2 linked regions of the Styela clava genome follow. The protein of the gene in region 1 purifies or fractionates together with the protein of each later gene. This does not show direct contact. Links are inferred from orthologs where the notes say so. Each region holds a gene or a part of one and is shown on either strand. Other genes may lie near its edges. The genes, in order: splicing factor 3B subunit 6-like and coiled-coil domain-containing protein 97-like.

Region 1 (16,678 bases):
TATGAAACATTGGATATACCAGAAGATTCAAATTTAGACCAAGTTAAAACTGCGTTCATTTCTAAGTCCAAAAAGTATCATCCTGATAAGAACTACGGTGATGAAGAAATGCATGCAAAGTTTGTAAAACTGAATGAAGCATATACTGTTCTTTCTGATCCAAACCTGAGGTCTGCATATAATTTTGAATTGATGAAAAAAAGCAGGATGTACTCATCTCCTTTAATACAGAGGTCAAAGGATTATAAAAGCCCATATCGGAAAAATAGGGATGATTCAACAGATTGGAGTGATTTTTATAGTACTTATGGCGGTGGAAAAGCATACAGAGACATGAAAGCTGAATCTGACTCTGAATTTTGGACACAATATTGGGAGAATACAAAAAAATTTGGAGGGGGTGAGATGCAAGAAGGGATGAGCCCTCCCCCCAAATCAACAATTGGAACAGAATTGGTCGTTATTTCGGGAGTATTATTCGCAGTTTATGTATGGGGGATGTATATCCTATCTGGCAGGGAGCCGCATAATGCTGACAGCTTTAATTCTGAACATGAAAAATGGTTACTGGCACGTCAGAAAAAATGATGCCATTTTTAAATTTTTTGGATAAGGCCATTGTTCAGTTCAGCACTATTTGCCACCTCTATTTCTTTATATATGAATTCTAGTCCATGCATCTCACAATTGACTGTTAACTATTTCTGTATCAGAGATTCAGACCTTAAGAATTGATAAAGAATGAACAAGCAATATGTTTCAAGTTGTATTGTTGCACTGTAAAGTAACAGCTCATTTTGAAATACTGTCTTTCTTCAGTTTTCAGTTGACATGGCCGAAAGGCCATGGACAGCGACATAGTTAAATGGTGTTACCGAATTAAAAAATCCTGTTGTATAGGCAAATTCATGATCTATTTTTGAAATGGAACAGAACCTTACTTCAGTGTTATTTTTGACCCATTGTACTATGATTTGCTTCAAAAGTCTTGTGATTTGTTCTTATGATCTTATTATGTCGATTATAAGGAAAATGTTCTACTCTAAGAAACTAAGGTGTATGAATTTTACAAAACTATCTTCCCACCATTATATATTATATTGAAATAAATTGCGGAACTATTTATGATTATTGCCAATCTTTATTTCTTTTTTAATGAATAGCCCCTGTTAGTTATTATTATACTGTAATATAAAAATAGCATGGATAATAGAGCAAGCAGTAGTAATGCTGAAATGCAAAGCAACCCATTTGCAGCTTTACTAGCTAATTCTTGCAATGAACCTATGGAGGTTCCAAAACTATCAACTCAAACTGATTCACATATTGATGAAAGCGGAATTGATTTGCCGGGACAAGTCATCGAAAGCGAAAAAGAATCTCAAGATGTCACTCAAATGACTTTTCCAAGTGAATTATCGAACTCAAAGTTGAACCAACATAAAAATGATTTAGCGGAAAGAATTTTTCTTTTGACTGATAATCAGCACCTTAATACCAGTGAGGAAGTGAAAAGAGATTTGCCTTCTTTCTGCGTTTTACTGGATAATGATGAAAGTGGTCCATTGCATGAAACAGTCGAACAGCTCATCTTCAACCGTCTTTTGTTAATAGACCCTGAAAAATCTCTCGTGAAGCGATCAGAAGAACATAATGAAACTACAGAAAAGGAGGCAAAAGAGGATCGTCCTCTTGTTTATTTATTGCAATCTTTCAACAGATTAATGCATGAAGAAAAATATATTCCACCAAATCTTTTATCGACAATATCATTTTATCGTCAACTGATTGTTCGAAATATATCAACTGCGTTTATTAGCCCAGAATTATTTATGGAAATTGGAAAAGAAAAAGGAATGGTTCACCAACAGTTTTATAATATGCTTGTATCGAATGATTGTTCGGATCCCACAAGCCCTCCTAGACTTTGCTTGTATAGTGTTGCTGATTATTTCTCAATGAATGAGCCTGATCTGATGGAAGCCGCTTTTGCACCATTGCTGGAAGTTCTTGCAAATGATCTCGGCCTTGATGATTTATTAGATGCCGGATTACACGTTCATCTTGCTGTTTTGTCAACGTTCGCTGAGCATCCTGGCTTAGCAGTTGTTACTTTGAATCATGATGCTAAAATAGATGGAAAGTTGGTTATGGAAGGAACACAAAAGAAAAGTTTTCTTGACATTTTATTCGGAAAGTCGTGTCTTGTTCCAGATCCACAAACAAAAGCGTATTTGTTTTTTGAAGATGTTGCGAGGATGGGTCCAACTGAGGTCGAAAATGAGGAATATCATCTTCAGAATAAAACAGATGGGTTCCATTCTCAACTGTTTTCTATTATTAGACAGTTTCTGAAACACAAGTCTACCCGTTCTAAGACTTTGCAGTGGTTTGGTAATACCATTGCTCATCATGGTTATCTTGCAAAAATGTGGTCGCACGAACACGTCGATGTTTTTATGGATGTGTTTGGTCCAGATGCGACACAACTTAATATTAGCAGCGTATTACTTCGTCTTTGTTTGCCCTTTTGCTCAGAAAAAACTGTTGTAAAAGGTATTGAAGAGGGGTCCTCGAAATCAACACCTCCCAAGTTTTTAAAAATTAATTCATCATATATTGATGTCACGGGACAGCCTGATGCCCATGCCAAGGGTGTACATGGCGTTCAATTACACAAGGATACCCGGTTGCAATCAACTGAAGACAATACACCAGCGCCAGTAACTATAGCTGACTCGTATAATTTTATCACAGAGTGCTTTTTCTTAACACACCGTTCAATTTATCTCAGTGTCCATGGCCTTATCAAAAAATTTTATAAGTTGAATCGAAGTTTAAATCGTGATGAAGATGTTTATCGTCAGATTCGTGCTTCTGGACAAGATCCAAATGGACACGCAGCTCTTGTTGTCAAAAGGTTCGAGACGGGTATGCGTAATTATTTGAGTATAAAAGGAGTGTTAACTGAGCCCGCTTTTCTCAAAGCGTGCATTCGACTTCATGGTACAACAGCACAATACTTGAATCATATTGCCATGTCAGACAACAATGATACACTGGCACGAGTTGTTCTACCCCTTCCTGAGGGCGAAACTGTGCCTAAAGGTCTTTACTGCATTCCTGAATATGTTGTGGAAAACCTTACCGATATGCTATTGTTTATTTGGAGGTTCGATCGTTCATCGGCGCACTTGTTTAACCCATTTATCCATGACATTCTTCTTGTTATTACGATTTACATGGGAAATAAAAGTAGAATGTCAAATCCACATTTGCGTGCCTCTCTTGCTGAAGTGTTACCAATTGTAATGCCTTTATCTGAAGATGATAATTCAAAAAGCAACAAAGAAGAAATTTTCAATGCTTTCCCACATTCTCCATTTTTAACTGTTGCTACTCTTCAGCTTTTTGTCGACATAGAGTTTACTGGCGATCCAAATCAATTTGAGCAAAAGTTTCACTATAGGCAACCCTTGTATCAAATCCTAAAATATCTATGGCAGAAGAAATCTTGTAATGACATGATCAAGAAGCATGTAAGATTGGCTATCAGTAATATTGATGAGGTTTCGCATCCTTTGTTTTTGCAATTTACGAACCTGCTTCTCAATGATTCTATTTATTTATTGGATGAAGCCATGGGGTTCTTGACACAAATAAAAGGCCTTGAACGTGAGAAAGCAGCAGGCGAATGGGAAGAATTGAATCAACAGGAAAAAATGCAAAAAGAAGGGGAGTTGAGACAGTTAGGAATGCTGGCAAAATATCACAATTTATTATCAAATGACACTTTAGACACCTTGGTTTATCTCACAGAAGCCAAAGAAGTCAAAGAACTTTTTAGTCATCCATCTCTGGCTGATAGAGTAGCTGCCATGCTTGATGACTTTTTGTTAAAATTAGTTGGGCCGAAAATGGGTGCGCTAAGGGTACGAGATCTTTCCAAATACCAGTTCAAACCAAAAGTACTTGTAGTGGACTTATGCCAAATATATGTCCACCTTTGCGTAAAAGATGATTTTTGCCATGCTATATCAAAAGATGGTAGGTCATATTCTAATAAGTTATTTCCAATGGCCTGTCAAGTTCTTAGACGTATCGGTAATGAAGAGTTACGACAGAAAATGATGGAAATATCTGAACGCGTCAAACTCTTTAGCAGTCAAGAGGAGGAAGAAGAAGAGATGTTTATGGATGCTCCTGATGAATTTTTTGATGCCTTAATGTCAACATTAATGCGTGATCCTGTGACTTTACCAACATCAAAACAGGTTGTAGACAGATCTACTATATCAAGACATCTGATGAGTGATCCCACTGACCCATTTAACAGATCTTCTCTTACAATGCAAGATGTTATCCCAAACACAGAGTTGAAAAATAAAATCACGCTCTGGATTGAAGAGAAGAGGAAGAAAAAACTTGATGAATCTGATAGCTAGTTCCAATACCATATTTTATGGCTACTGCCGCTATGCAATTGTGTTGTGTGTATAATTTTCCTTTATCCATGGTAGGTGGTGACTCAATCATACAGTGAACTGGGTCAAGTATAAGATTGTACAAATTCAATTCGCTGAAATATAGGATTCGCTTATGTATATTTGTACAAATTGCTGTACAATGATGGGAATATACCAAACAATCGACATCGACCGTTTATACCTGAACCATCATCAAATTATGTAAATAATATTTAGAAAGTATACATTCATTCTCATCTTCTTTAAATATAGTCATTCTGAAGTTTCACAGTGTTGTATGTATCATGGTATTCAAGATACCTTTTGGTTCTAGCTCAAATCGCTACTAAATATCAATCACCAGTTTTGAGGCAGGCCTGGTTTCTTCCTTTGTTTTAGAACATTTTTTGGGCCTATATATTGATGCTTGTGTAGAAGATTAGTGAAATATTTAGTCAGGCCTATTAAGGAAAGGCAAGACAGCTGTGAATTATTTACCCTTCAAGAAAACACTGCTCTGGTAAAAAAAAAATTTGGAAAGGCAAACTAGCTCTAGGTATTTAAATGAATCGCGTTTTTGCATGCATGCTATTATCGTAATGTCTATACAACAGCAAAACAACCAAAAACGCCAAATTATACCTTGCAGTCGCACCCGTATCAACGGTTGTTGTTTCAGCCCTACAGGTGGTAATGCCCCCCCTTTACAAAGATAATATCACTTGCAATGATAATAAATAGGATTTAATAGGAAACGCAGATTTAAAATTAATATCAATTGCATAGAAGAGATGATAAACACTTCTGTATATTAAAACAAAAAATTAAATTGGAATTATTCATGACTTGGTTGACAGCCGTTAGGTTCACATTTTACTTCTTGTAAGCCATTGAAATTCTTGCTGCTTTCGCTCAGAAGTCAAATCGATCATAACATTGGTTAGACAGGGCTCCCCATTATCAGCATGTTTGTTGAAAGCATTGTTAAGGGCTTGATCAAAGTTATCGGGTGTTTCTGCATAGTAGCCAATTCCTCCGAAAGCACTCATTATCTGCTCATAACGAGAATTTGGAGTCAAGAACATCGGAAGTGACCTAACCAAAGTAAAAATTAACAATTAAATTATAGATGTTCAAGAAATTCAGTAAAAAATTTATTGAGAGAAAATGTGAATTGATTTTCATCCAAGTCAAGACCAATCTAGCCAGTTCATTTTATTTCATCAAGAAACCAATACACCTACCCAGTTGCAACATCTTCTGTTGTTTTTAGTCCATCCCAGAACATTTTAGGTCCACCACTGTAAATACCGTTGTTGTTGACAACCACAAAAATAATGGGAAGTTTGTATCGTACTACAGTCTCTAATTCCATTCCAGAAAATCCAAAAGCACTGTCACCTTGTACACATACCTAAATAGTAAATATCAATTCAGAGTTCATGACAATTCCCATACAATTCTTGTATGGTTGAAGTTGACACTAATTGTCCCTTTTCATGCATTTGTTGAATACACTATATTGCTTGCTGTTACATTCCAAACACTATCCTATATAGAATACCCCAGAATTAATTCTTCAATTTTAAAATTCATTCAAACATTTCAATGAAAATAATTTTTTCCCTTCATCAATGATTACCAGGCAAAATGCCAAACTACTAGATTCTGGCACTGTGTCGTCAAGAAGTAATGAAATAAAGTAATAAAAATTAATTCAACCTTCACTAAGTCCTAGTCAATTTTATTTTTTTCCGAAATTGAAAAATAAATAAAATTCACCACACATTTTTACTGGGGATGGGAAGCCGCGAGAAACCAAAGAAACTAGCTTACCACTTTTTGAGGTTTTTGTCCTGGTTTTGCAGAATCTTGAGCATATAAAGCAGCTGCAATTGCAAAGCCAACCCCTACTCCCATTGTTCCAAAAGTACCAGCATCAAGCCTATGAGAAATCATATGTTGAATCAATTTTATGGTATTATTACAATACAAGACAATTGCCTTGTACAAAACAGTCTAATAATCATTCCAAACCTATGTCTTGGGTAATAGTTTTTCATCATAGTTCTTCCAATGTCCATAGTATTTGCTCCTTCCCCAATAATGATGCTATCTTTAGGCAAGTACTTGTTCAATATATCATAAACGGCATAGTAGCTGAGCGGTACGGAATGATCCGCACACATCGCCTACAAAGAAAAAGTAAGATATATTACAAAAAACTATCAATCAACATAAACATGAATAACAAACAATTCATTCCATTTACAAAATTTATCTGAATTAAATTACGATTAATTGTTATACCTTAACTTGCTCATCATTTTTCTCAATTTTCTCGTTCAAAGCTTCCCACCACTTAGAATCAGTTGGATGTTTCCACATGATACCTCTGTGAATTCCAACAAAGTGTTGCTGCATCTAAATTTTCAAAAAAAAATAGAAACAGTTAATTTGAATGACAAATGATATTCACGGATATACTAATAATCTCTGATAAAAACGTCACATACTCATCAGCCTTTGCTTGGTGAGATATAAAAAATCACAACTAATGGATAGCAATTCAAATGCTTAAAAATGTGTCTAGAAAGTAAATTCGCCGATGCTATTTGTATTATGCGAACATGAGTTTCAGCATATATGTATATATAAATTTCAACATACCTGTTTAACCACATCTGATATATTGCCATGGATGCCAATACTGCTTGGAACATTATTCCCCAATTCTTCAGCACAGATATCAATCTGAATCACTTTTACATATTCATCAAATCGCGGAGGCCTAAAATATGACAGTACTTATGGATACAAATTTGGTTGATGAACAAAAATTACGGGCAACTGGAAAGTAATGACAGTTGAACAATTTGGGCACATCAGGGAGCATTTGTGCAAAAACCGTATTATTCTATTAATTTCTATATATTTTGAAACAGGATTGTTACTCAGTAGTGTGACAAAATGAAATCAAATTATTATTTTGTGATGTATGTCTAGAGAAGCATATGTAAGCAATATCTGTATTATTAAATTGTGCTTTTAGGCGTTTTTTTGTAAAAATTGTACGCAGATAGACAGGTTATATATAACTCACTGCCGGAAAGTCTAGTTTCACTACTGCAATAAATAAATTTTCTGCAGCTGTTGTTAGTGCTTTGGTTGCGCTACCAAAAAACGTTGGTCAATTTTGAAAAATAAACAATAGTTACCTTCCAAAATGAAGTTGCCAGTTCAATCTTGCACCAATCAACAGTATACAGTCTGCCATCTGAAGAGCCCTGGAAATATTCCAATATTTTCATTTTGTATAATTTCGTTTGCTATCATTCCATTGAAAAATCAAATAATTGGAGGTAACTTACCTAGACCTCGCAGCAGATACACATAATGGATGGTCATCACGTATCACACCCTTTCCCATAGGTGTAGGCAAAAAGGGCAACGAATGCTTCTCCACAAATTCCAGCACTTCTTTTTCAGATCTGGAGTAGGCTGCCCCCTTGCCTATGATAACCAATGGTCTTTTAGCAATCATCAATGTCTGACATGCTTTCTTCATAACATTCAAATCAGCTTTCAAGCCTGATGGATTTGGGCACATTGGAAACTGTCTGAATATAATAAATAAGCATAAATATCAGTATTTAATGAATGTTGCTAAATCTCCAAGTTGCGAGCAGTAAGTCATCAGTCTCAAATCAAGCTGATACTTACTGCCCTCCCGATTCACAAATCATGTTGGGTCACTGCTGTTTCGAGTTGAAATAGATTTCATAAAAACAATGATATAGATAAATATGCCCCTCATTGGCATGGAGATATGAAATAAATGTCATTGTGAAAATCAAACTAGAATTCATTAATCTATTGACAATATTTGTCTCGGTATCAATGCAGCCATATTTTGACATATTGCAGAAACAAGCTAGTCAATTTTTCAATATTTTAGGAAGGCATCTATGAATGTGTGAAATTATCTTCAATGCAATTTTTTGCTACTTCGGTGACTTGGTTGGAGTATTTCCAAAACTGATAACTTGAAAATTCTCCAATACAGAAGGCATGGTCCATAAAATAATTTACTTGAAAATATTCATTTCAGGTTACTACACACTGATGTATAACAATCAGAAATTTGGTGAAGCTTACCTACAATCACCCCTTCTCACTGAAGCATTTACAAAATTGCCAGGAATATCAATATAACAAGCACCAGGTCTTCCATATATAGATGTTCTAACAGCTTTCTCAACAACCAATGGTATTGCTTCAAGACTAGATGGTCTAGCAGAAAATTTGGTATACATCCGACTTGCTTCTACCTGGAGATGATAAATTGGGGTAAATATATACTGTATATAACTGAATAGGCCTAATCATTCTGAAGTCCCAAATCCGTATTATAAGGAAACAAAATCCATAGACAAATACAAGTATAGCTATAAATTTAGACTTATAAAAATGGTGACATAACCTTGTTATGATAACCCCTAATATACCTGGGCAAATTCTTGAAATGCCCCCATCTGTTCCTGATCTTGATCAGATGAACCTCCAACAGTAATCATGGGCCAGCAGTTTTCTTGAGCGTTTGCCATTCCACCTAAAGCGTGTATCAGACCAGGCCCTGACACAACCAGACATACACCTGTGAATTACAGAAAATCATTAATATCAGTGCGCATAAAAAATTCAAATAATTCTTCACCACTCTCTCTCCGCTGAGCTTGAGTTAAAATTATGGTTAATAGCTAATTTTTCTAGAATTCTTAAATAGAGAGTGGGAGTGGTGACTCCTCTGCGGCCCATGGGCCGGGGCCACGGCCCATCAAGTTGTGTAAAGAAACTATTCACTTGGCTAACACAGACAGTCCCCGAACTCATAATAGAACTATAATGTAAAAAATCTGAATTTTTTTTGTCCTAACCCTAACCTGGTACACATACTACAGGAGTATATTTTTTTGGTTCGAATATCGACAATTTGGTAAAAATTGAAAATTTTGTTAAGATAATTGAATTTTTCCTGATGGGGCCGCGGCCCATCAAGCTATGGGCCACGGCCCATGTGGCCCAATTAGATGGGCCGTGGCCCCGGCCCATGGGCCGTAGAGGAGTCACCACTCCTGTAGTAAATAGAAGCATATTTTCCATGCTTCAGCAACTTTTATTTGAACTGAAAATGTTGAACATTTCCAGTAAAAATATGATATTTCTATGCCTTATCTTAAAAGTACCATCCACACAATAAATATTCCACCTTTTCAAAGCAAAATTATTATCTGTTTAGATGCATTCAATTGTGAAATAATAAGCAGTACAAGGATCTGAAAGTACTCAAATGGATAAGGAATAAAATAAATTTGGTTCTCAAAAATTTTGAAAAACTGGATCAAACATGCCACAGAAAACTGATAAACAATTTGAACAATCAGATCAAAAGGGAACCTGGCCGTCCAGTCAAATATCCAATAGCACCAGCAGCATATGCAGCAGCTTGTTCATTTCTCATTCCAATGTATTGAATGCCGACTGCCTGTGCTGCAATTGCAACCTCTATGACAGGAATTCCAACCACTCCAAACATGTATTTGATTCCCTGCGAAAAAATCATGAAAATATCACAGTAAATATGTTGGACATACCGCTAGAATTGTTAACATATTGCTGTATTGTTATTTCTGTAGAATGCAACACATTCTGACATTGGCATAAATAACCCACATATACATACTTGTGCTTTCAGACTTTCCGCCAAGGTTTGGGCCCCTGTGATATCATCGTCCATGATCTAAATTTTCTTTCAAATCCAAAATAGATTGCAGAACACCGAATTATTGATTGCAGGACGCCTTGTTACTGGAACCCTACTCAGTACTACAGAGAAAACTATATCAAGCGCAGTAGCTAGCGAGAATATGAGCAAGCAAATAAATTGATGTTAAGCGCAAACAAAGCCTGTTGAGCATTGGGCAACAGATTAGAAATGGCATCTTACCAACTGTGTTTAAAGGAAAAATTAGATTCAAATCGACGCATTTATAAAAACAAGCTGCCCATTAGAATATCGATATCCACGGAAGGCAATTATGATCAAAATGACCACAACATAATGGTAAAACTTATGACACTTTTTAACAGCATTGGGCATCCGCGAATCGTTCTTGTTACGTTTCCCCAGCGTTATTGCGTCATATTATAGCACTATTGAAATAGATTGTTTTAAATGGGAACATTCCTATTTTACGCGTAGGATCTTTCTATACATAAATACTATTTGACGATTTCTTGTCTGTTGTTCGGCTTCACAGAGGTGTTTTCGCTGGTTTATTCCAAATATCTGAATTTCAAGATGGCTATGCAAGCGGCAAGGCGAGCTAATGTAAGTTTTTAAATTGTAAATGATTTTGCTTTAGTTTTTATATGATAGTTTTCGTAAGACGTCGCGAATTATAATGAAATACATACCGGTACCAGTACGGTACCGTGTCCGTACCTACAGACCTAACTTACCATTCAGCTGTGGGGTCTGTAATAAATGACTGGAATAAGCTCCACTGCAACTTCATCAATCACTCCAGATTTTAAAGTTTTGTAATTCTAGTTTTGTTGAATGTTGAAGTAAGTGCCATGTCATCAAAAAGAATTTAAATTACTGAATTATGACAGAATTATCACATCAGAATTAAGTTAAGGTACCGTAGCCTATATCAATTAACTGTAATAATTCTCATGAATAAATTCAATTGTAAAATTAGTAAATAATAATTTATCGACCCTCGGACACTAGCCTACTAAATTTGTGATTTTGAAAGTCTGCCATCGTTACCAAACTGCCAAAGCAGTTTTATATCTTAATCTATTGCACTTTCACACTGACATGAAATTGCATAGCTGTGTATGCCTGCCTATTACTATAAATACGGGTACCGTACCTAAAATATTTTTTTTTACCCTAGAACTTTTTCGAGTGCTTCATCAAACACAAATGGATATTTAAACCAATTTTAATAATATTTATCGAATGTGCTGTTAACTCTGTTTTAATTTTAACATCGACCTTCTGTATTCCTTCTTACCTCCACAAGAATATCTTCTTTTTTCTGTTGATTCTATAATTTATAGCGGCTAATAACATTCATGTCTATAATTTTCAGTTTTACAAGACCCACACCTAAGGTAGAAAATAAATATCAGCACGTTGTTGTCAACAATTTCAAATTTTATTCATTTTTATGAATACTTTGTGTAAATGACTGTTTTCAAAATTATAATATATTAATTTGAAATTTTTTTAATTTTTGATTAACAAAAACTCCATTTCATGACAATTGTTATATAATATTTTTTATATTTCAGGTGAGACTTCCACCAGAAGTTAACAGAATTTTATATGTCAGGAATTTACCATACAAAATCACAGCTGAAGAAATGTATGATATATTCGGAAAGTACGGTGCAATCAGACAAATACGAATGTAAGATATCATTTTTATTGAAAATATACATTTATTGAGATAAAAAGAATCTAAATATTTGGCCAAGGATGGTTATGTCCGATGTAGTGTGGAACACTAAGCTTTACTTAAGGTAATTGTTGTTCATTTCAAGGAATTGATCTCAGCCCATTACGTCACAATTAAAAACTTCTCTTTTCTATTCCCTTCAACATTCAATGTACTGACTATTTATTTTATTGTTCATTACAGGGGAACTACAGCTGAGTCAAAGGGAACTGCATATATTGTATATGAAGATATATTTGATGCAAAGAATGCCTGTGATCATTTATCTGGTTTCAATGTTTGCAACAGATATCTTGTAGTTTTATATTACAATCCAAACAGGGTACGTGTTCCACGTTTGGCTTCCAGAAATCGAGCATGAATCCATATTATTCTTTATAATATAATTTTTAATTTAATATGGTTTGGTTTTATTTAACCAATGATGACATTGGTTGAAGAACTGACTTTATCTTTATTTTTACATTCACGTAAGATTGTCGCAAGGGAACTAATATCTGAATCATTTATGATTGTGTCACCTTTCAGATATCTCATTTATTCTAATCTGCTACTTATTATATTAGCCTTTAAACTATTAGTCATTAACTCATTCCACTTTAAATATTATATTGCATATTTAATATATAGATAAAATCACCCAACATTTGCATTAGAACAGTGAACAAATTTATTTAGTTCAATTATATTGGGATCATGTATATTATTATATTGCAATGTTTTCCAATTATAAAAGTGACATTTGGTTCAATTACACACTTTCAGACATTCAAGAAACAAGATGCTAAAAAGAAGCAAGAAAATTTGGAAAAGATGAAAGCTAAATTTGGTGTAAGCACAGACGACAAAAAGTGAATCCAAGATGGCTTTCCTTTTGTTTTTAATTTTTTACCGGAGAGGCAGTGTGTTTATTGGATGACAAAGTATTGGCAGTTGGATCTGTGACTAGAAACTGAAATTTATCCACTTTGGTATATACTGCAAAATTGTCTAGAATTTCACCATCAAACAACTCGTCATTGTTTTTGTGTAGACATTTTCAATCATGGAACAGGCATACAATTCGCTCACTTTTCGTGAAAATAGCGCAAATCAAGGTTAAACGCTATGTCACAAAAAAAATTTTTGAAGTTTGTCAGATCTAATTCTAGAATTAATCCAAAGTTATTTTCGCGCTTGCAACCCCCACTCTTTGAAAACTTATAAATTTGCCAATTTTGTCTTCTCAATATTTGCTTATGGCACTTTTCATACTTTCTCAATATTGTTACAAAAATGTGGGTACCCTACAGCTTCCATTTCAATGGAGCGCTTTTTGTAAATACATTGTTTATATCATCTACATTTACTTCAAATGTTTGTATATAGTTGTAGTAATGTATCAGAATGTGCCTACCAGGTTACTTTATGGGTGCTTATTTAGCTGCTGAGAGAACTGTTTATGAAGGTTATTGACAGGTAACCTTTGCATATTACAGTTTTTGACCGCTCACCTATTCACGGAAGTTGGATTTATCGTTTTAGTAGATGAAATTGGGAACTCGCCACCAATAAAATTACCGCAGCTCGTGTTACAGGCTAATTGAACTGCTATTACGTCGAGGTACTAAATGGGCTTCTAAATAAAGGTTTGGATGCAGTGACGTAGCTACCCATTGGATCTTGTAGATAAATCCACGGGCGGCACGCTGCTGGAGGGCGCAAAATGTGGCAAAACGAACAAAGACGGTCACATTATTTATTCTCAGAAATGCTCACAAACGATCTAACTTAATACTGATTAAAAGGAAGCTAAAAAAATTACACAAGTTATGCCCCTGAACCTGGGGTTCCCAAACCGCGGGTTAATTACGGCACTTGTAACGATTAAAAATGGCCCGCCGACTTTTAGTGCAATAGTTTAACGGTGAAACGTAAATGAATACTAATACAGTACGTTTAATACTTCAAGTGTTTAGCTTCTTGCGCTCTAGTTACTGCCAATTGTTACCTTATTATCACGGGTTGAGCATGTGAGCAAGTTATAGCATGTACCCTAAATTAAGAAAGATTAAAGATGTTCAAAAACACGAAACTAGACACTTCGTCAATAGTGTTTTTCCACGTATTTTAGCTCCATAGATCGTCGCCATTTGATCTATCATGGGGACATCCTCATTAAGGGGTTAGGGATACCTATTACAGTATAGGGGACTGTTGACCCTATCTGCGCGTTCTTACCCCCCTGTTATTAAACACACGTTAGCGGAGTAAAACCCCAACTGACTCCTTCAGAGGTCAATAAGCACACAATAGATTGAATGCTAAATGTTCGTATATTTAGATGCACAATCCAAATAACAGATAACGAAATACACTTAAAACCTTAACCCCAATATATATGATGAAACCAAATTTCTAACTAACAATGCGCACGATAAACACGAGCAGCACTGAGCGAAGGAAAATATATCATAAAGGGAATGAATTAGAGCAACGATCTTGTTTCAGGCAAATAACATGCACTATTAACAATATGTGGTGAAGAATACTAGAATACACAGGCGCGGCGGTGTGGCTCAACGGGCTAAGCGTAAGGGACACGCTCGCCACCGCACCTCTAATTACTCTGCGTGGGTTCGCAGGTCCGAATCCCATGCAGGGATGGTTATGTGTGAGAGGATCGCTGGACTCCTCGCCGTCGTTGGGGGTTAACGTAACCGCTGGTCGGTTACGGCTTACTCCACCACCAAGTCCATGCTTCCGAAGACAAACAATAAAACTAATCCCATACCCGACATGGCATCCCCGGGATAGATATGTAAATCTTTTTTCTTATCCTTATCCTAACTATCCTACTATTCTTATGTAGCCTGCCCGCTACAACAGCATCACTGAAGTCGCACTAGCAGGAAAAACGAAATATGATTGTTCAATCCTATTGGTGAAAATTGTTAGAAATCAGTGATGGTTTTCCAAATATTTTAGCCGTCGAGTTCGTCGTCATTTGATCTATCACGGGACACCCCCAATATAACATTCAGTGGCGGCACGTCAATAGGGCCAACCGGGGCAATGCCCCGGGTGTTTTTTCGGTATAATAAAAAAATATTCGAAAAATACCTCAATATCGGTTGCACAGACTGTCTACACTAGCCATATTCTCCCGACATGGTTCATTTTTCGCTCGCAAAGCCTTCGCCGAACGTCGACGGGGCGACGCCGATTTTGCCCCCGTTGCTCATTGTATATCGTATTCTCTCTTTTATCTTCCACTCGCCGCGTTTGTCTCGTTTGTTTTCTGTTTCTTTTACTAAATCATCGGGGCCGATCGGGGCTAGCCCCGAAATTATGACGACACAATGCCGACGTTTCTTACAACAACGTGTTGACATATTCACGCATTCCTTCTCGTTCGTTGGTTGCTTGAAGAGTTGATAGTTTCCTCGCCTTCGTTTTTGTCGCTTGTTTCGCTATTTGAATCAGTTAGAGACCTTTAGTCCATTTGCTTTCGATTTTCCACATTCCTTTTGAGCTCCTCACTTCTTTCCGGCTTCGCATTTCTTTGCCTTAGACCTCATAATGAATAAGGTTGATGCACTACTTCGCACTCCGTTTTCGCAGCTGCCGCTGGAACAAAAATTAGAGGTACAACGTCTTGGGCTTTATCAACCAAAAAATTGTTCACTGGAACAATCCCATGACGGAGGAAAGCGTCGGCGTACATTCTGCGCAGAAACTTGGTATAAAAAACACGAATGGTTGTGTTACAGCGAGGACAAAAATGCACTTTTTTGTTTTTATTGCCTACTTTTTGCTACCGCTCGTGACTCACGTTGGTGTAAATTTGGTTTTAGAGATCTTAAACATCTTTCCGAGCGTGCCAGGGATCATCAATCTTCTATGGAGCATCTGGACAATGCAGTAAAATACCGAACATTCGGAAATGTTAATATTGCAGCACAGTTGGATGAAGGACGCGCCATTTTTATTCGTCGGCACAACCAAAACGTCGAGAAAAACCGCCATGTTCTCGGTCGATTGATAGATGTTTTGAAGTTCATTGGTTGTCACGAGCTGTCCTTCCGTGGGCACGATGAACGGGCTGGCTCTTCTAATAGAGGGGTATTTTTGGATATGGTGGAATACACCGCATCCCTAGATACAGTATTGAGAGATCGATCATCTTGATGCCGCAAGTGTTTCGAAAGGGACATCTAAGGATATCCAAAATGATTTGCTCGACTCAATGTATAAAATTTATTTACAACATTTGGCTCTGGAAATTGAGAATTGCCAGTTCCTTTCGATTCAGTCTGACGAGACAACTGACATCACGTGCGTTTCTCAACTGGCTGTGATTTTTCGGTTTGTGAAAGATGGTAAACCTACCGAAAGATTTTACAGCTTTGTACCAATCGTTGATCGCACGGCTTGCGGGATATCGGCTGTACTGAAAGAAGTGTTACAGCCTTACAACGCGAAGTCAAAATTGATAGCTCAAACTTATGACGGCGCGGCAGTCATGAGTGGGTCGAAACATGGTGTTCAAGTTTATATAAAAGAAGATTTTCCTCATGCGCATTTTTTACATTGTTTGCACACCAATTTAACCTCGTTATTAAAAATATGTGTCTTGATCCCCCTCTCGTCCGTATATTTTTTGCAAATGTTTCGGGGTTTTCTTCATTTTTTCCG
Region 2 (15,682 bases), on another chromosome or scaffold:
CGGTAGCAGAACGTTTTGACTTTGCCATATATAATACCAAACATAGCGTATACTCTTCAATTTTATGAACAATGTGGACGAAACAAATTTAAAAAGGAATTGTATGTCAACTAAATTTGCTGAACAATTGATAAAATATATATTTTTCTCTTTGTCACACATTAATACTGTACGTCTATTAAACTTAGAATGAGTTGCAGAAGAAAAGTATAAAATACCAAAAAAATATTTTACGCCCTCTCGTGGATTCTTTTCAAAATTTCGAAAAATTATCGATTTTGGAAGGGGAATTTCTCGAAAACCGCCAATAAAGGCAGCACTACGACACATTCGGAAAAAGTATATACCCTATAGATTTGATTTCACTATAACAAAACAGTGGCAGCATGTTTTGACTCGGCTACATATAATACCAAAATAGCGTGTATTCTCAGTTTTATAAACATTGTCGACGTAACAAATTTAATAGGGATTTGTATTTCAACTGAAGCTGCTGGAAAATTGATCAAATATATTTTTCTCTTTGTCACAAATGAATACTGTACGTTTATTAAACTAAGAATTAATTGGGAAAGTTTAAAATAAAAATAAAACATTTTACGCTCTCTATAATGGGTTCTTTTCTGAATTCCGAAAAATAATCGTTTTTGAAAGGGCGATTTCCCGAAAACCGCCAATAAAGGCAGCACTACGACACATTCGGAAAAAAGCAAATACCTTTTAGATTCGACTTCACTATACCATAACAGTAGCAGCACGTTTTGACTTGGCCATTTATAATACCAAACATAGCGTATATCTCAAATATTTGAATAGCGTAGATGTTCACATATTTTGAAAAGGTTTGGTATTTCAAATAAACTCACCTAATATCGTAATATTCCGTTTTCTTACTTTTTCAAACACCGATACTGTGTGTTAATTAAACTTGGAATAAGATGCAAATTGTATGAAAAAGTGAAAAATGTCTTACAACCTATATATAATTTTTCAATTTCCCAAGCATGCCGTTTTTGGAGTGACGATTTCTCGGACAATGGCCAATAAAGGCAGCAATACGACACTTTTGGAGAATAGCAGATACGTTAAAGATTCGATTTCACCAAACCAGAACAGTAGCAGCACGTTTTGATCTGGCCATATTTAATACTAAACATAGCATATCATTTTCAATTTTATCAACTATGTATATGTAACATATTTAAAAACGGTTAAGTATTTCAACTAAATTTACTGGAAAATTCATCAAATACTTTCTTCTCTTGGGTATACAACAAAACTGTACGTTCATTAAACTTGGAATTAGTGTGCAAATCTTAAAATGCCAAAAAATGATTGACGCGCTCTTGTGGATCCTTTTCGGAATTTCGAAAAATTATCGTTTTTGAAAGGGCGATTTCTCAAAAACCGCCAATAAAGGCAGCACTACGACACAGTCGGAGTAAAGCAGATACCTTATAGATTTGTTTTCATTGTGTCAGAACAGTAGCAGCACGTTTTGACTCGGCCATATATAATACCAAACATAGCGTGTATTCAAACTTTTATAAACAATGCAGACGTAACATATTTAAAAACGGTTTGGTATTTCAACTAAATTTCCTAGATAATTTATCAAACATCTTTTTCTTTTGGACATACATATATACTGTACCTCCATTGAACTTGGAATGAGTTGCGGAAAGTATGAAATAACGGAAAATCATGTTTCGCCTTCTTGTTGATTATTTTCAAATTTTCGAAAAATTATCGTTTTTGAAATAGCGATTTCTCAAAAACCGCCAATAAAGGCAGCACTACGACACATTCGGAGAAAAGCAGATACCTTATAGATTCGATTTTATTATGTCAGAACAGTAGCAGCACGTTTTGACTTGGCCATATATAATTTTATCAACTATGTAGATGTAACATATTTAAAAACGGTTAGGTATTTCAACTTAATTTACTGGATAATTCACCAAACACTTTTCTCTCTTGGTCATACATCAAAACTGTATGTTCATTAAACTTGGAATAAGACGGCGAATCCTAAAATAACAAAAAATGATTTGACGCTCTCTTGTGGTGTTTTTTTGAAGTTTTGAAAAAATATCGTTTTTAAAAGGGCGATTTCTCAAAAACCGCCAATAAAGGCATCACTACGACACATTCGGAGGAAAGAAAATACCATATAGATTTCATTTCATTATGTCAGAACAACAGCAGCACGTTTTTACTTGGCCATATATAATACCAAATATAACGTGTATTTACAATTTTATAAACAATGTACACGTAACATATTGTAAAAAGATTTTGTATTTTACCTAAATTTACAGGATAATTCATCAAACATCTTTTGAACGTTCATTAAACTTGGAATAAGTTGCAAATTGTATAAAACAACAAAAAAATGACTTACGCCCCATAGTAATTTTGTTTAATATCTCGAACATACCGTTTTTGGAGTGGCGATTTCCACAAAACCGCCAATAAAGGCAGCACTACGACACATTCGAAGAAAAGCAGATACTCCATAGATTTTGTTGAAATACCAAACCGTTTTTAAATATGTTACGTCTGCATTGTTTATAAAAGTTTGAATACACGCTATGTTTGGTATTATATATGGCGAAGTCAAAACGTGCTGCTACTGTTCTGACATAATGAAATCAAATCTATAAGGTATCTGCTTTACTCCGAATGTGTCGTAGTGATGCCTTTATTGGCGGTTTTTGAGAAATCGCTTTTTCAAAAACGATAATTTTTCGAAATTACGAAAATAATCCACAAGAGGGCGTCAAATCATTTTTTGGCATTATAGGATTTGCACAATAATTCCAAGTTTAATGAACATACAGTTTTGATGTATGACCAAGAGAGAAAAGTGTTTGATGAATTATCCAGTAAATTAAGTTGAAATACCTAACCTTTTTTAAATATGTTACATATACATGGTTGATGAAATTAAAAATTATACGCTATGTTTGGTATTATATATGGCCAACTCAAAACGTGCTGCTACTGTTCTGACTTATTAAAATCGAATCTATAAGGTATCTGCTTCTCTCCAAATGTGTCGTAGTGCTGCCTTTATTGGCGGTTTCCGAGAAATCGCTATTTCAATTACGATAATTTTTTGAAATTTTGAAAAAAATCCACAAGAGGACGTAAAATGCTTTTTGGTATTTTATACTTTCCGCAACTTATTCCAAGTTTAATGAACGTATAGTATATATGTATGTCCAAGAGAAAAAGATGTTTGATAAATTATCTAGGAAATTTATTTGAAATACCAAACTGTTTTTAAATATGTTACGTCTGCATTGTTTATAAAAGTTTGAATACACGCTATGTTTGGTATTATATATGACCAAGTCAAAACGTGCTGCTACTGTTCTGACTTATTAAAATCGAATCTATAAGGTATCTGCTTCTCTCCAAATGTGTCGTAGTGCTGCCTTTATTGGCGGTTTCCGAGAAATCGCTATTTCAATTACGATAATTTTTTGAAATTTTGAAAAAAATCCACAAGAGGACGTAAAATGCTTTTTGGTATTTTATACTTTCCGCAACTTATTCCAAGTTTAATGAACGTATAGTATATATGTATGTCCAAGAGAAAAAGATGTTTGATAAATTATTTAGGAAATTTATTTGAAATACCAAACCGTTTTTAAATATTTTACGACTGCATTGTTTATAAAAGTTTGAATACACGCTATGTTTGGTATTATATATGGCCGAGTCAAAACGTGCTGCTACTGTTCTGACATGATAAAATCAAATCTATTAGGTATCTGCTTTACTCCGAATGTGTCGTAGTGCTGCCTTTATTGGCGGTTTTCGAGAAATCGCTATTTCAATTACCATAATTTTTTGGAATTTTGAAAGTAATCCACAAGAGGACGTAAAATGCTTTTTGGTATTTTATACTTTCCGCAACCTTTTTCCAAGTTTAATGACCGAATAGTATATATATATGTCCAAGAGAAAAAGATGTTTGATAAATTATCTAGAAAATTTAGTTGAAATATCAAACCGTTTTTAAATATGTTACGTCTGCATTTTTTATAAAAGTTTAAATACACGCTATGTTTGGTATTATATATGACCAAGTCAAAACGTGCTGCTACTGTTCTGACATAATGAAATCAAATCTATAAGGTATCTGCTTTACTCCGAATGTGTCGTAGTGATGCCTTTATTGGCGGTTTTTGAGAAATCGCCTTTTCAAAAACGATAATTTTTTGAAATTTTGAAAATAATCCACAAGAGGACGTAAAATGCTTTTTGGTATTTTATACTTTCCGTAACTTTTCCCAAGTTTATTGAACGAATAGTATATATGTATGTCAAAGAGAAAAAGATGTTTGATAAATTATCTAGAAAATTTAGTTGAAATATCAAACCGTTTTTAAATATGTTACGTCTGCATTGTTTATAAAAGTTTGAATATACGCTATGTTTGGTATTATATATGGCCAAGTCAAAACGTGCTGCTACTGTTCTGACATAATGAAATCAAATCTATAAGGTATCTGCTTTACTCCGAATGTGTCGTAGTGATGCCTTTATTGGCGGTTTTTGAGAAATCGCTTTTTCAAAAACGATAATTTTTCGAAATTACGAAAATAATCCACAAGAGGGCGTCAAATCATTTTTTGGCATTATAGGATTTGCACAATAATTCCAAGTTTAATGAACATACAGTTTTGATGTATGACCAAGAGAGAAAAGTGTTTGATGAATTATCCAGTAAATTAAGTTGAAATACCTAACCTTTTTTAAATATGTTACATATACATGGTTGATGAAATTAAAAATTATACGCTATGTTTGGTATTATATATGGCCAACTCAAAACGTGCTGCTACTGTTCTGACTTATTAAAATCGAATCTATAAGGTATCTGCTTCTCTCCAAATGTGTCGTAGCGCTGCCTTTATTGGCGGTTTCCGAGAAATCGCTATTTCAATTACGATAATTTTTTGAAATTTTGAAAAAAATCCACAAGAGGACGTAAAATGCTTTTTGGTATTTTATACTTTCCGCAACTTATTCCAAGTTTAATGAACGTATAGTATATATGTATGTCCAAGAGAAAAAGATGTTTGATAAATTATCTAGGAAATTTATTTGAAATACCAAACTGTTTTTAAATATGTTACGTCTGCATTGTTTATAAAAGTTTGAATACACGCTATGTTTGGTATTATATATGACCAAGTCAAAACGTGCTGCTACTGTTCTGACATAATAAAATAAAATCTATTAGGTATCTGCTTTACTCCGAATGTGTCGTAGTGCTGCCTTTATTGGCGGTTTTTGAGAAATCGCCCTTTTCAAAAACGATAATTTTTCGAAATTCCGAAAAGGATCCACAAGAGGGCGTCAAATCATTTTTTGGCATTTTAACATTTGCACACTAATTCCAAGTTTAATAAACGTACAGTTTTGTTGTATACCCAAGAGAAGAAAGTATTTGATGAATTTTCCAGTAAATTTAGTTGAAATACCAAACCGTTTTTAAATATGTCACATCTACATTTTTTCAATGAAATTAAAAATATACGCTATGTTTGGAATTATATTTGGCCAAGTCAAAACGTGCTGCTACTGTTCTGACATATTAAAATCGAATCTATAGGGTATCTGCTTTTCTTCGAATGTGTCGTAGTGCTGCATTTATTGGCGGTTTTTGAGAAACTGCCCTTTCGAAAACGATAACTTTGTGAAATTTATTAAACAATCCACAAGAGGGCGTAAATTTTTTTTCAGTATTTCAGACTTTACTCAACTTATTCTAAGTTTAATGAAGTGCATTATTGTTGTGTGACAAAGAGAAAAATATCTTCTTTGATGAACTATCCAGTAATTTTAATTGAAATACAAAATCAGTTTCAAATTTGTTGTATATACATTGTTTTAAAAATTGAAGAATATACGCTATGTTTAGTATTATATATGGTCAAGTCAAAACGTGCTGAGACTGTTCTGACATATTGAAATCGAATCTTTGAGGTTTCTACTTTTCACCAATGGTGTTGCAATGCTGCCTTTATTGGAGGTTTTCATGAAACGACCATGTTACACGACGAAAATTCAGTCATTTTTAAACATCTCTCAAAGAATTATAAAAAAATTTTGTGCACTGTAACAGTCGCTTTAGCTTGTTTACCATATATTAACAATACGAGGAGTGTAGTTAATGATTGTTTTGCTTTAATTGCTATTGTGAAAATAATCAAAATATACACTTTCTTATAAAAATCATTGGGAACATTTAATTTTACGCGTGGGTATTTTCTGCGATTCTGTCAGTAACAATTTCGTGTTTTGCTGCTAGCTTCACAGAGGTCGTTGGTCTGGATTTAACGTTCTGATTGCTGGTTTGGTTCGATTTTTTTTTTGAGTTCATTGCTCGGAACTAAAACTTCGTCGTTTCGTTAGAACTGAATTTCAAGAAACTGCAAAAATGACTCTTGAAGAACAGAAAATTTACGCCAACGACGATCCCGAAGATCCTGAAGACGAGGAAGATGACGACGACGAAGAAGAAGAGGAAGACTTAGTTGACCCAATGGACGCAGTTAAGGAAACTTGCAATAACATTCCGGAGTGCTCGCCCTATAGAGAAGAGTTAGTTCGATGCGAGGATCGAGTGAATAGCCGGAGTCAAACGGAAGAAGATTGCGTCCAAGAACTTTTTGATTTTCTGCATTGTGCAGACCATTGCGTGGCTGATAGATTGTTTTCCATGCTGAAATAACTTTTAGGCCAACTTTAAAAGTGTGAAACTGTGTTTTGGTATTGTTTGTTTAGCATTAAAGTTTAGAACAAGTTATAAATTTAATTATTCTGTATGTGGCAAATTTGTTGAAAATGTTATCACCAATTACAGAATTACTGAATTTCAGAATTAATTTATATTTGGTTTTCTATATTTGAATAAAGTTTTGTGATTTATCAGCGATTGTATTGCTCAATTTTCAATGCTAAATTTAATTAGTTTGTATGGTTTCAAAGGTTAAAATCTTTATCCAAACTGACAAATGCCGTAATACTAAATGTTGATTCTTTATTTACTAGTTTATCACAACACCCAGACACTGTAGGACTGGCTGCGACTGTCTATAGTATAGATATATTTGCAGCTTTAACACTCATGAAATTCTGAGGAATTTTGTGCTGCAAATTTTTCATTTTATTCTGATGTGATTTTGATGGTTCGACTTGAAATCAAGCCCTAAATTGTGGATGTATTTTGATGATCATGGATGAGAAAAATAGCATTGAATGTTTATGTAAAAGACTAGCAGGTGAGTAATTCATACTCCACAAGCAGAAATGTCTAAACAATTGTGTTTTGATGGAATTTCTAAGATATTACTATATGAAAAATGTTTGCAGAGTATTTGTGTCATCAAAAGATAGCTAAATAGTCCAGTTTGAACACCGCAATGCCGCAGAAATTGATAACAAACAAGCCAATGATTTAGAGAGATTGCCAAAACTTCAAATGATGTTTAAGCACGAAACATAAAAGTACTACATGAGCGATCTCACTTTGTCGCACAGGATTTAACTTAAACAAAAAAATAGGATGAAATAACATTTATTACATGTAATATAGGCTTTTGGCTTCAAGCATTGCGATAATATATGCCAATGTCATACGCTCTTCGAAAACCTGAATATTTTTTATTGAAAAAAATTGCTATTTTGCTATTAAAAGTTTAATTGAAGTTTATTATAAATTTTTTTTTACTATATGAATATCATGAATTGAACCCCAATTTAAAAATAAGAGTTTTTGAATTGCTATCATGGGATATAATTTGTTTAAATATAATAAATTGATTTTATCTTTTGTTATTATCAAGGTTTGGATGAAGTTTTCTTACCGATTAAGAAAGTTGGAACAACTCCCGAGGTGATTGAAGACAAAGGAATTCTCACTGCTGAGAAAAAATATGATGAACTTCAAAAACATTTCGAACAAAGCCCCATGAGGTTCTTGCAAAGATACTATGAACATATAAAGCCAAATGAAATTTCCTGCTTCAATTCTTTACCAGAAAATGAGCAAGTCTGTTATTACATCCGGCAGATTTGTCACAAACAAGATCTAAAAGCAAGAACAGAACTTGACAGTCATTATATTTCACATGAAGTTAAAAATCGTCGATATCAAGCTATGCAACAAATGATTAAAGAAGGAGAATATTTTAATGAGGAAGAAATGAGTAAAAGAAATCCGAAGCTTTATCAACATTACATAGGAAGGTTTGTTTATTTCATTGCTCATTAGTCCTGAATCTGTGATATTGTCTAGTGCAGTGGTTCTCAAACTTTTTTTTAAGTGACGCAAGTATTCGAATAAATAGATTTTTGGGTCTTCCGGCCCAAGGATATGCTCAAATACTAAACGTTCAGTACTTTTATGGCCAAAATTAAATGAATATTATCATGAAACAATCATTTTGATATAACACCTATTCCTCCAAAAATTATTTTGAAGTGAGGAAACTGTGTGTGTTTGTCATCAGCATGGAATCGATGCATGGCTTTACTAAAGCAAATTGAATGTCAAGATTTTATGCAGTGATACTGCCCACGCATGCAATTACTATTGAGAAACACTTAAATACCAAATCTACAATAAACAATCAAATTTACTATAAAATAAAATTAGTAACTTTCAGTTTTTTATTGAAAAAAGCGAACTACCCAGGAAATTTTTTAGGCAACCCAGTTTCGGGTCACGACCCATATGTTGAGAAACACTGGTATATTGCAGTGGCTTTCAACTTTTTTGGTGGAGAAGAACACCAATGCAACATTACAGAGACTGGAGGAACCCCTGTGCAATAGTGTGATTGCCTTTTATTGAATAGAATAAACTTTAAGATAAATGTTCAAGTGATGAAAGCAAATTTATACTGGCAATGGCAAGTTATTTTCTTTGGAGTGTAGCAGGTTAAGTTCTGTTACACTCTAACACAAATGTATACAGTCGCACTTTGACAATTATTTTAAGCCAAGTAATCCAAGAGTCTTGCTGTACATAACAAAGCAACACAAATATATTTTTTCTCTGTCTTTGGCCTCCTTGCATTATATGCTTACGGATCCACCTGTGCAAGATCATTGTAGAGGTATGACTACGGTAGTTGGTCCCACAGAAATCTAATTATTAGCACTTTGACTAGGTTAATAATACAATACCGTTTAACAACACTGCTTGGGGACCGTTTGAGGTCATTGATACCATTTTTTTTAATGATAAAGATATTTCTCTATTTGTAATCGAGTACAGCTTGTATCACATTTTAAAGTTATGAGAAAATTTTTTTTTTTTCAATTTCCAGATCTGTACAAACTTAAAATTTGACATTCGGCATACCCTGAATTCAAAACTAAAACAGGTAATAAAACTTGGTTATCTCATCTTTCTTTACCAATATTCTGTCAGAAATCCCCCCCAAAAAAAAAAACAGGCCTATAATCACAAGATATCGAAAAAAGTCCATAACTGAAAAATATGACATTAGCTTTAGCTTTAGTTTTAGTGTGGCATTCCATCTATCTTCTTTTCTCACTAGGTTTCTATCGGCAGAAGAAAAAGAGGAAAGAATGAGTGCAAGAGCTGCTGCCCATCCAACCACACTTTCTGGATTCTTCATGGATGTTATTGAGAAGAAATGGGACAAAGAGGATGAGAATCAAGATGAGGAATTTGATGATGACAGTGAAGAAGAGGAGGAACGTGTGCCAGGTAAATTTCTTCAGGATAGGAATTACATATTCATCCCAGGGAGAGGAAGATGGTAACATGACTTAATCATATCTTGAACCACGGCCTCTCGTCCTGTTATCAGTCAAAGTCAGGTATGGGATCAGTTAGTTATTTGTTTTCGGAAGCATGGACTTGATGGTGGAGAAAGCCGTTACCGACCAGTGGTTACGTGAATCACCCTACGGCGGCTAGGAGTTAACCAATCCTCTCGAACATAACTATTCACGCATGGGATTCCAACATGTGAATCCACGCAAAGTAATTAGAGGTGCGGTGATGAGAGTATTCCCAACGCTTAGCACGATGAGCCACACCACAGCGCCGCGGTAAACTTCTTCAAATTAGGATGGGATAGGATTTGCATATTTATCCCGGAGGAGAGGAAAGTTGATAATAATTGTATTCAATATGAATAAGAATTTCATTTGATTCAAGAAAGTTACCTCGTACTAACACAAATGTACTGATCTCATTCGGATGAAACCTTGCAGAAATACATTTGTGAGAGTTTGACTGGACCCAAAATTGGTTGACCTGTTCACAGAGTTTAGGTTAGGTTTGGTTAGGTCTTCGTTCATCACTGAAACGATGCAATAGAATGACTTTTTTGAATTGTCCAACAAATACTATATTATGACACCTGGACAATTATCAGTGCTAGTACGAGCGGTTGTTAGTACTAGGTTGTGATATGATTGACCACGTTAGTCAGATAGTTTTTTTTTCGGAACAAAATTTAAATTCTGCCATATCCTATTTCCTTTAATCATTCTTTTCATAGATATTTCCGAAGAAGAGAAGGAGTTTTTAGCTGAAGAATTTAAATCCAGAATGTACGAGAGTTTTCTCAGTGGAATGGATAAAAATTTCTCATATGAGTACGTATTTTTACATCGAAAGTGGAGTTTGGTTCATCATATCTGCAATATTACATAATCCTGACTTACTCGAACACAGGTGTCAAGCTCTGCCTTGTTTGAGATAGCGATACCATGGGACTGCCAGGCGATGGACCTGATGCCTTTTCAAGTCTGATAATATTATGTTAATTTTATTCCATCTTTAATAGATCTTTAGCTAGTGGAATATGCAAGTCAACACCTCGCCCACATGTTCCCTCATCCCCCTTTTATTATACATTGAATTATAGTAGTTTATAATGTGTTCATAATTAATTATTATAGAAATAATGAAAAAATACTCAGCAAATAAAAAGCGGATTTTCTTCTTCGAATACTTCCTCCCAGGTTGGGAAACAAGGGGTTATACCTGACATGGGGCCAAACACGGCCGTTGGGTAATTCAAACTGGCTCGCTCGATGCTGCCACAACCAAACTAAAACCAAATTTTGATGTTTTAACTCAAGGAATTTGTTGAGAATGCGATTAAATTTAGTTTTGGCACGAGAATTATGGTTTTCCAGTTTTGCTCTTGCGACACTGTAAATATTGTTCATAAAGTGTAAATTTTTGCGTCACACCCACATGGCCCTTCAGTTTGGGCGGACAAAATTCGTGGCCCCGGGTCGAAAATCCTTGCCCACCCTTGGGTTATACTGTGTTCATTAAGTCTTTATTTCAACAGGGATGTTGACATGAACACAGATTATGATGATTTTCATCAGATTGAACGTGATGTTGAAGACGATTATTTCGATCAGGAGGAACCATCGTTGAATCTTCCTGGAGAAGTTGATCAAGGTGCTGAAGATTCAGAAGATGAACTAGATAGATATATGAAGACGATAGATTCTTCGGGTAATGGATAAGGTTTCGAAGTTATGTGTTGGAAAAGTGAGAAACCCACAAAGCGCTATCACCATGCTATGGTGCATACAGTACAGTCGCGATAAAAGTGAGCGATATGCGTAGTGGAGCAGTTGAAAGCATAAGACTTAACGTCACATCCATCGCAGGTTACGTGTCCCTGGTTCAAATACCATGCTCATAACCTAACCCAAGGTGTAATAAATTGGGTAGATGTGGCCGAACTGAAAGATTCTGGTTCCTCTAAAGCAGGGGTCGGGAACCTTTTTGGGCAAGAGAGCCATGAAAGGTGCATATTTTCAATTGCTTTTTGGTGCGAGCCGTATGACATTTTCATCACCTAATCGTGTCTTAAATTTTTACTCAAAAGTCAACACATACAATGTCGATACTGTATACAATCTGGTGCTGCATATTGTCGCCGAGGGCCTTGTGACTGCTCACATGCAGCACAAGTTGAAATCCACGTTACTCATCACCTTTCTTTCTTTTGGGCATCACCGTAGTGCTTTAAAAATTAGTTTTGCTGGCCCAATCTAAATTTTACAAATAAACAGTACAAACTGACGGAATACTTATTACTTATCGATTTTAATCAGTATGTTAATAGGTATTTATCTGTTTGTTTGTCTGTCTGTTAGATGCACGCGATATCTCACGAAAGCGAGATTGAATCTGCTCCATATTTTGCATGTGCATTCATCACATGTCGGACCAGAAGCCTATAGATTTTGGATGAATTATGTTGTATAATTAGCGAGGTATTAATTAGTAGTGGGACACAAGGTGTCACTATGGAGTAAGAGCACTGTTTTGGGGGATCCCCTAACTTTCGATCGGTAAGTCTTCGATCTCTGACCGTTATTCTCATTCCATTATTGCCCCGCGACTCTATCGCTTCGTGATATCACAAAATATGTTCCAGAATCCCCTAGTTTCTTTCCCATGCGCTAAGCGCTCGCTCTGCAACGTGTTGTCAAAATTGGCTAAAAAGGAGAAATCTGGTAACAATAGTAAGCTTAGCCTTAGAATGTTGGATATTTCTGGGAGCCATATGCCCTTGGCAAATAAGGGGTTGGTTATATGGCTCGCGGGCTATGGGTTCTCGACCTCTGCTCTGAAGGTAGCACCTCCATCATATTTTTAGTTATCGGTTGTACGTTGTGGATAAGAGTTGTATAAAAAGTCTCAAATCCCCCCGGGGTCTTCAAGTGAAATTCCCCATCATAGTCGTGAGTCAAGTCAAAATTACCTCAAGTTTTGATTGATCCATCAGGTCACCGTGCCTTCCGTTTACAAGGGGAGGCGCAGCACTGAGTGCATTGGCAATTCCATGCTACAATACAGTTGTGTCAAAGTCCCTATACGTGTCCAGAGTCTGGAAACTGCTATCGAGAGACCAAGTCAAGTGGTAGATTTGATAAAGAACAGTAAAGTGGATAAATATGAGTCACATTGACACTTGTTTTAAACTTTATTGGGGCACATAGAGCTGTGACGTTTTGGTGGAGCCAAGCTCAACATGCCAGATTGGAGCCGTAGCTAACAGAAATTTTAGTGGCTCCAGCCCTTGACCATCTAAATTATTTTTCACATTTCTAGTTTCGCATAACCTGAAACTTGATAAAATCTACCCTTTTCACCTTGTAAAGATTTATATTTCTCATTATTAAATTACAATTTCTAATAATATTCTAAAACTGTGGTTCTCAAACGTAAAGCTATGTCCCCTTTTTAGAGTTTGTCAAGTCTCGCGCCCCACCTCAAAAATAACTAGCTAACAATAAGCTACAAATGACAGATGGTAAGGCGAAAGTAAGTTTCATTCAAAAAACACGTTGAAAATACGGTATGAAACGGATACTAAAGGTACAAGCACAACAGCTCTCTTCAATCCCTAGTTTAAACAAAGAAATGTAGGACCTCCAAAAGGCGCACAACCTGAACATAGTATTTGTGTACCGGTTAGTATTCAGGCTGTGCGACATCTTGGTGCCCATGCTGCTGTAGCACCGAAATGTAAATATCCAAAATAAGGGCAAATATTTTTAATTAGGTTCACGCCCCCTCAAAAAATGGTCGACGCCCACCGTTTGGAAACCACCGATCTAAAAGTTATAGTTAAATTTATGTATAGAATAGGATTTATATATTTGTCCCGGGGGAGAAGAAAGCCAATATGGTGAACAAGATCGGGATTCTAAACACTTCGGCGTAAGGTTCAGGCTTTGGAAGGGTGCACCCTGCTTATTATCTAGTCTAGCGTTGCCCTTTACGTTATGATGTCACCATTAATTTTGGCAACACCACTTTCGTTGTTTTATCTAATATCATAATTCTGTCAACCCTACAATTAAGGTTAGGGTTAATTTGTACGCCTACTATACCTTAAGTTGTGTAAATGGACGGAAGCCTATGGGCAGAGGGTATATTAACTTGACTGGCACAAACAGTCCCCGAATTCGTAATAGAAATAGGAAAAATTATAATAAACTTTGGCCTAACCTAGTACGGTACACGTACTACGGGAGTACCTAATTTGGGTGTAATTTTTGCCTGGATTGGAGGTAAATTTTGCAATCACAAGAGTGCTTGACCAAATGTATCCTTTAACCAAAAATGCTGACGCAGAATTGGAATTGCAACGGGACCATTTTACATGCCTAACAGTACAGCGTATCATGAAATGTGACTTTTTAAAAACCTAAACTCAACTAGATTCTGTTTTAAAAGTTCTGTATTGGCAATCGTGATCGGAACATATCCCGTCACTCTGGAACATTGGAGTCGGCCAGTCTCGTCGCAAACGACGGTCTTCATTCACCATGTGATCTAGCCGACCAACTTTCTTTCTCGATAAAAATGATTCCCAACTGGGAGCCCCCACCTAGGGTTGCCAACTATGAAAAGTTTCAATAAAGGACATAGATTACCGTCATCATTTATTTTGTAACTTGCAAGAAAGAACAATATAAAACAATGAAATAAAAATCATATACAGGCTAAAAAGATAAATTAAAAAAATCTTCATGTGTTTTTCATTTAATGTTTATGGAACATTTACCCAAACAAGCTCTAATTTTGCATAATTTTTTAATTCTTAAAGTTATATTTTTCTATAACATACTATGATTACACAAACATTTACAATAACAGCATTTTTGGATTGCGAACGTCATAGAGACCAATTATACGTGGAATTTTCAGTTATTGAACTAGAATTTACTCAAATCTTAGAGTGTTGCCATTTTCGGAAAATTACTATTTGAAATGTTAATAAAATTGTTAGTTCTTTGGCTATTTGAGCCGCACTAAATGGAAACTGAAAAAATTATTTAAAAGCTTACAACTACAGAAACGGAGGCGATTTTTAAGATCAAGACAATATCAAACACGGTGCTATAATAAACTATCGGGCAAAACGTCGTTGGAAAGAATAAAAGACAATAAGCATCTTTTTTAAATGCTAAAAAGGACAAGGACCGAAAAGTCTAATTAAAGGATTGTCCTTTGAAATAAAGGACGGCTGGCAACCCCACCCTAACAAAGACCACGAAGCAGTTGAATGGAAGGTCGCAAATAATTTTATATTTCTTTTTACAAAAAAAATTTTCATTCTTATTAGCTTTAAGGCAATTTGACCTTGTTGAGCTTGAATTGTTTGAACCTAATGTGATTCGGAATTTACCAATATAAATAACGCTATAAATACTACTGCAATGACTAACCGGGGTCGCCATCAGTTCTAAAAGCATTCGAAAGGGCACGAGACATAAAAAGTTGGGTCCACTGTTTTGGGGTATCGCATGTTATACATCTCTAGTTTAAATCGCGTGCCCGGTGTGTAATAAATTGGATAGGCAATCTTGCACTGGAATTCTAAGAATAGGAGGGCTTCACTTATCGGTGGCTGCTTTTCCACGGCCTTGGGTACTCCCGTAGTATGCGAACCAAGATGGCGGACACCGGAACGTGGCATATATGTGTACCAGGTCAGGGTTGGGCCCTAATTTCAGGTACCGATACTACGCGATTCACTTGGCTAGTCCCCGAACTCGTAATAGAAATAAAATAAGGAAAAATGAAGGGAAATTAGGACCTAACCCTAACCTAGTACACATACTACGTTGC

Evidence for each region.
Region 2: the proteins of splicing factor 3B subunit 6-like (region 1) and coiled-coil domain-containing protein 97-like purify together in Homo sapiens (affinity purification with mass spectrometry; 3 studies listed by BioGRID and IntAct, counting the BioPlex papers as one, with this or other methods). This does not show direct contact. The link is inferred for Styela clava from reciprocal best matches to the Homo sapiens genes SF3B6 and CCDC97.

What each region holds. Positions count from the first base shown.
Region 1 is NC_135263.1:10,171,242-10,187,919, reverse strand, and holds splicing factor 3B subunit 6-like, read left to right. Parts: upstream 1-10,713; 5' UTR 10,714-10,827; coding exon 10,828-10,857; intron 10,858-11,834; coding exon 11,835-11,953; intron 11,954-12,184; coding exon 12,185-12,323; intron 12,324-12,766; coding exon 12,767-12,856; 3' UTR 12,857-13,343; downstream 13,344-16,678. Other genes in the region: ubiquitin conjugation factor E4 A-like, read left to right, coding at 1,203-4,445; 2-hydroxyacyl-CoA lyase 1-like, read right to left, coding at 5,333-5,561, 5,711-5,880, 6,303-6,411, 6,504-6,658, 6,777-6,890, 7,137-7,257, 7,685-7,753, 7,838-8,086 and 4 more.
Region 2 is NC_135257.1:17,899,731-17,915,412, forward strand, and holds coiled-coil domain-containing protein 97-like, read left to right. Parts: upstream 1-7,165; 5' UTR 7,166-7,252; coding exon 7,253-7,304; intron 7,305-7,868; coding exon 7,869-8,271; intron 8,272-9,590; coding exon 9,591-9,763; intron 9,764-10,565; coding exon 10,566-10,662; intron 10,663-11,369; coding exon 11,370-11,553; 3' UTR 11,554-12,608; coding exon of another isoform or gene 12,609-12,672; 3' UTR 12,673-12,915; downstream 12,916-15,682. Other genes in the region: mediator of RNA polymerase II transcription subunit 18-like, read left to right, coding at 12,609-12,672; cytochrome b-c1 complex subunit 6, mitochondrial-like, read left to right, coding at 6,461-6,754. UniProt on the Homo sapiens protein: May play a role pre-mRNA splicing through the association with the splicing factor SF3B complex which is involved in branch-site recognition.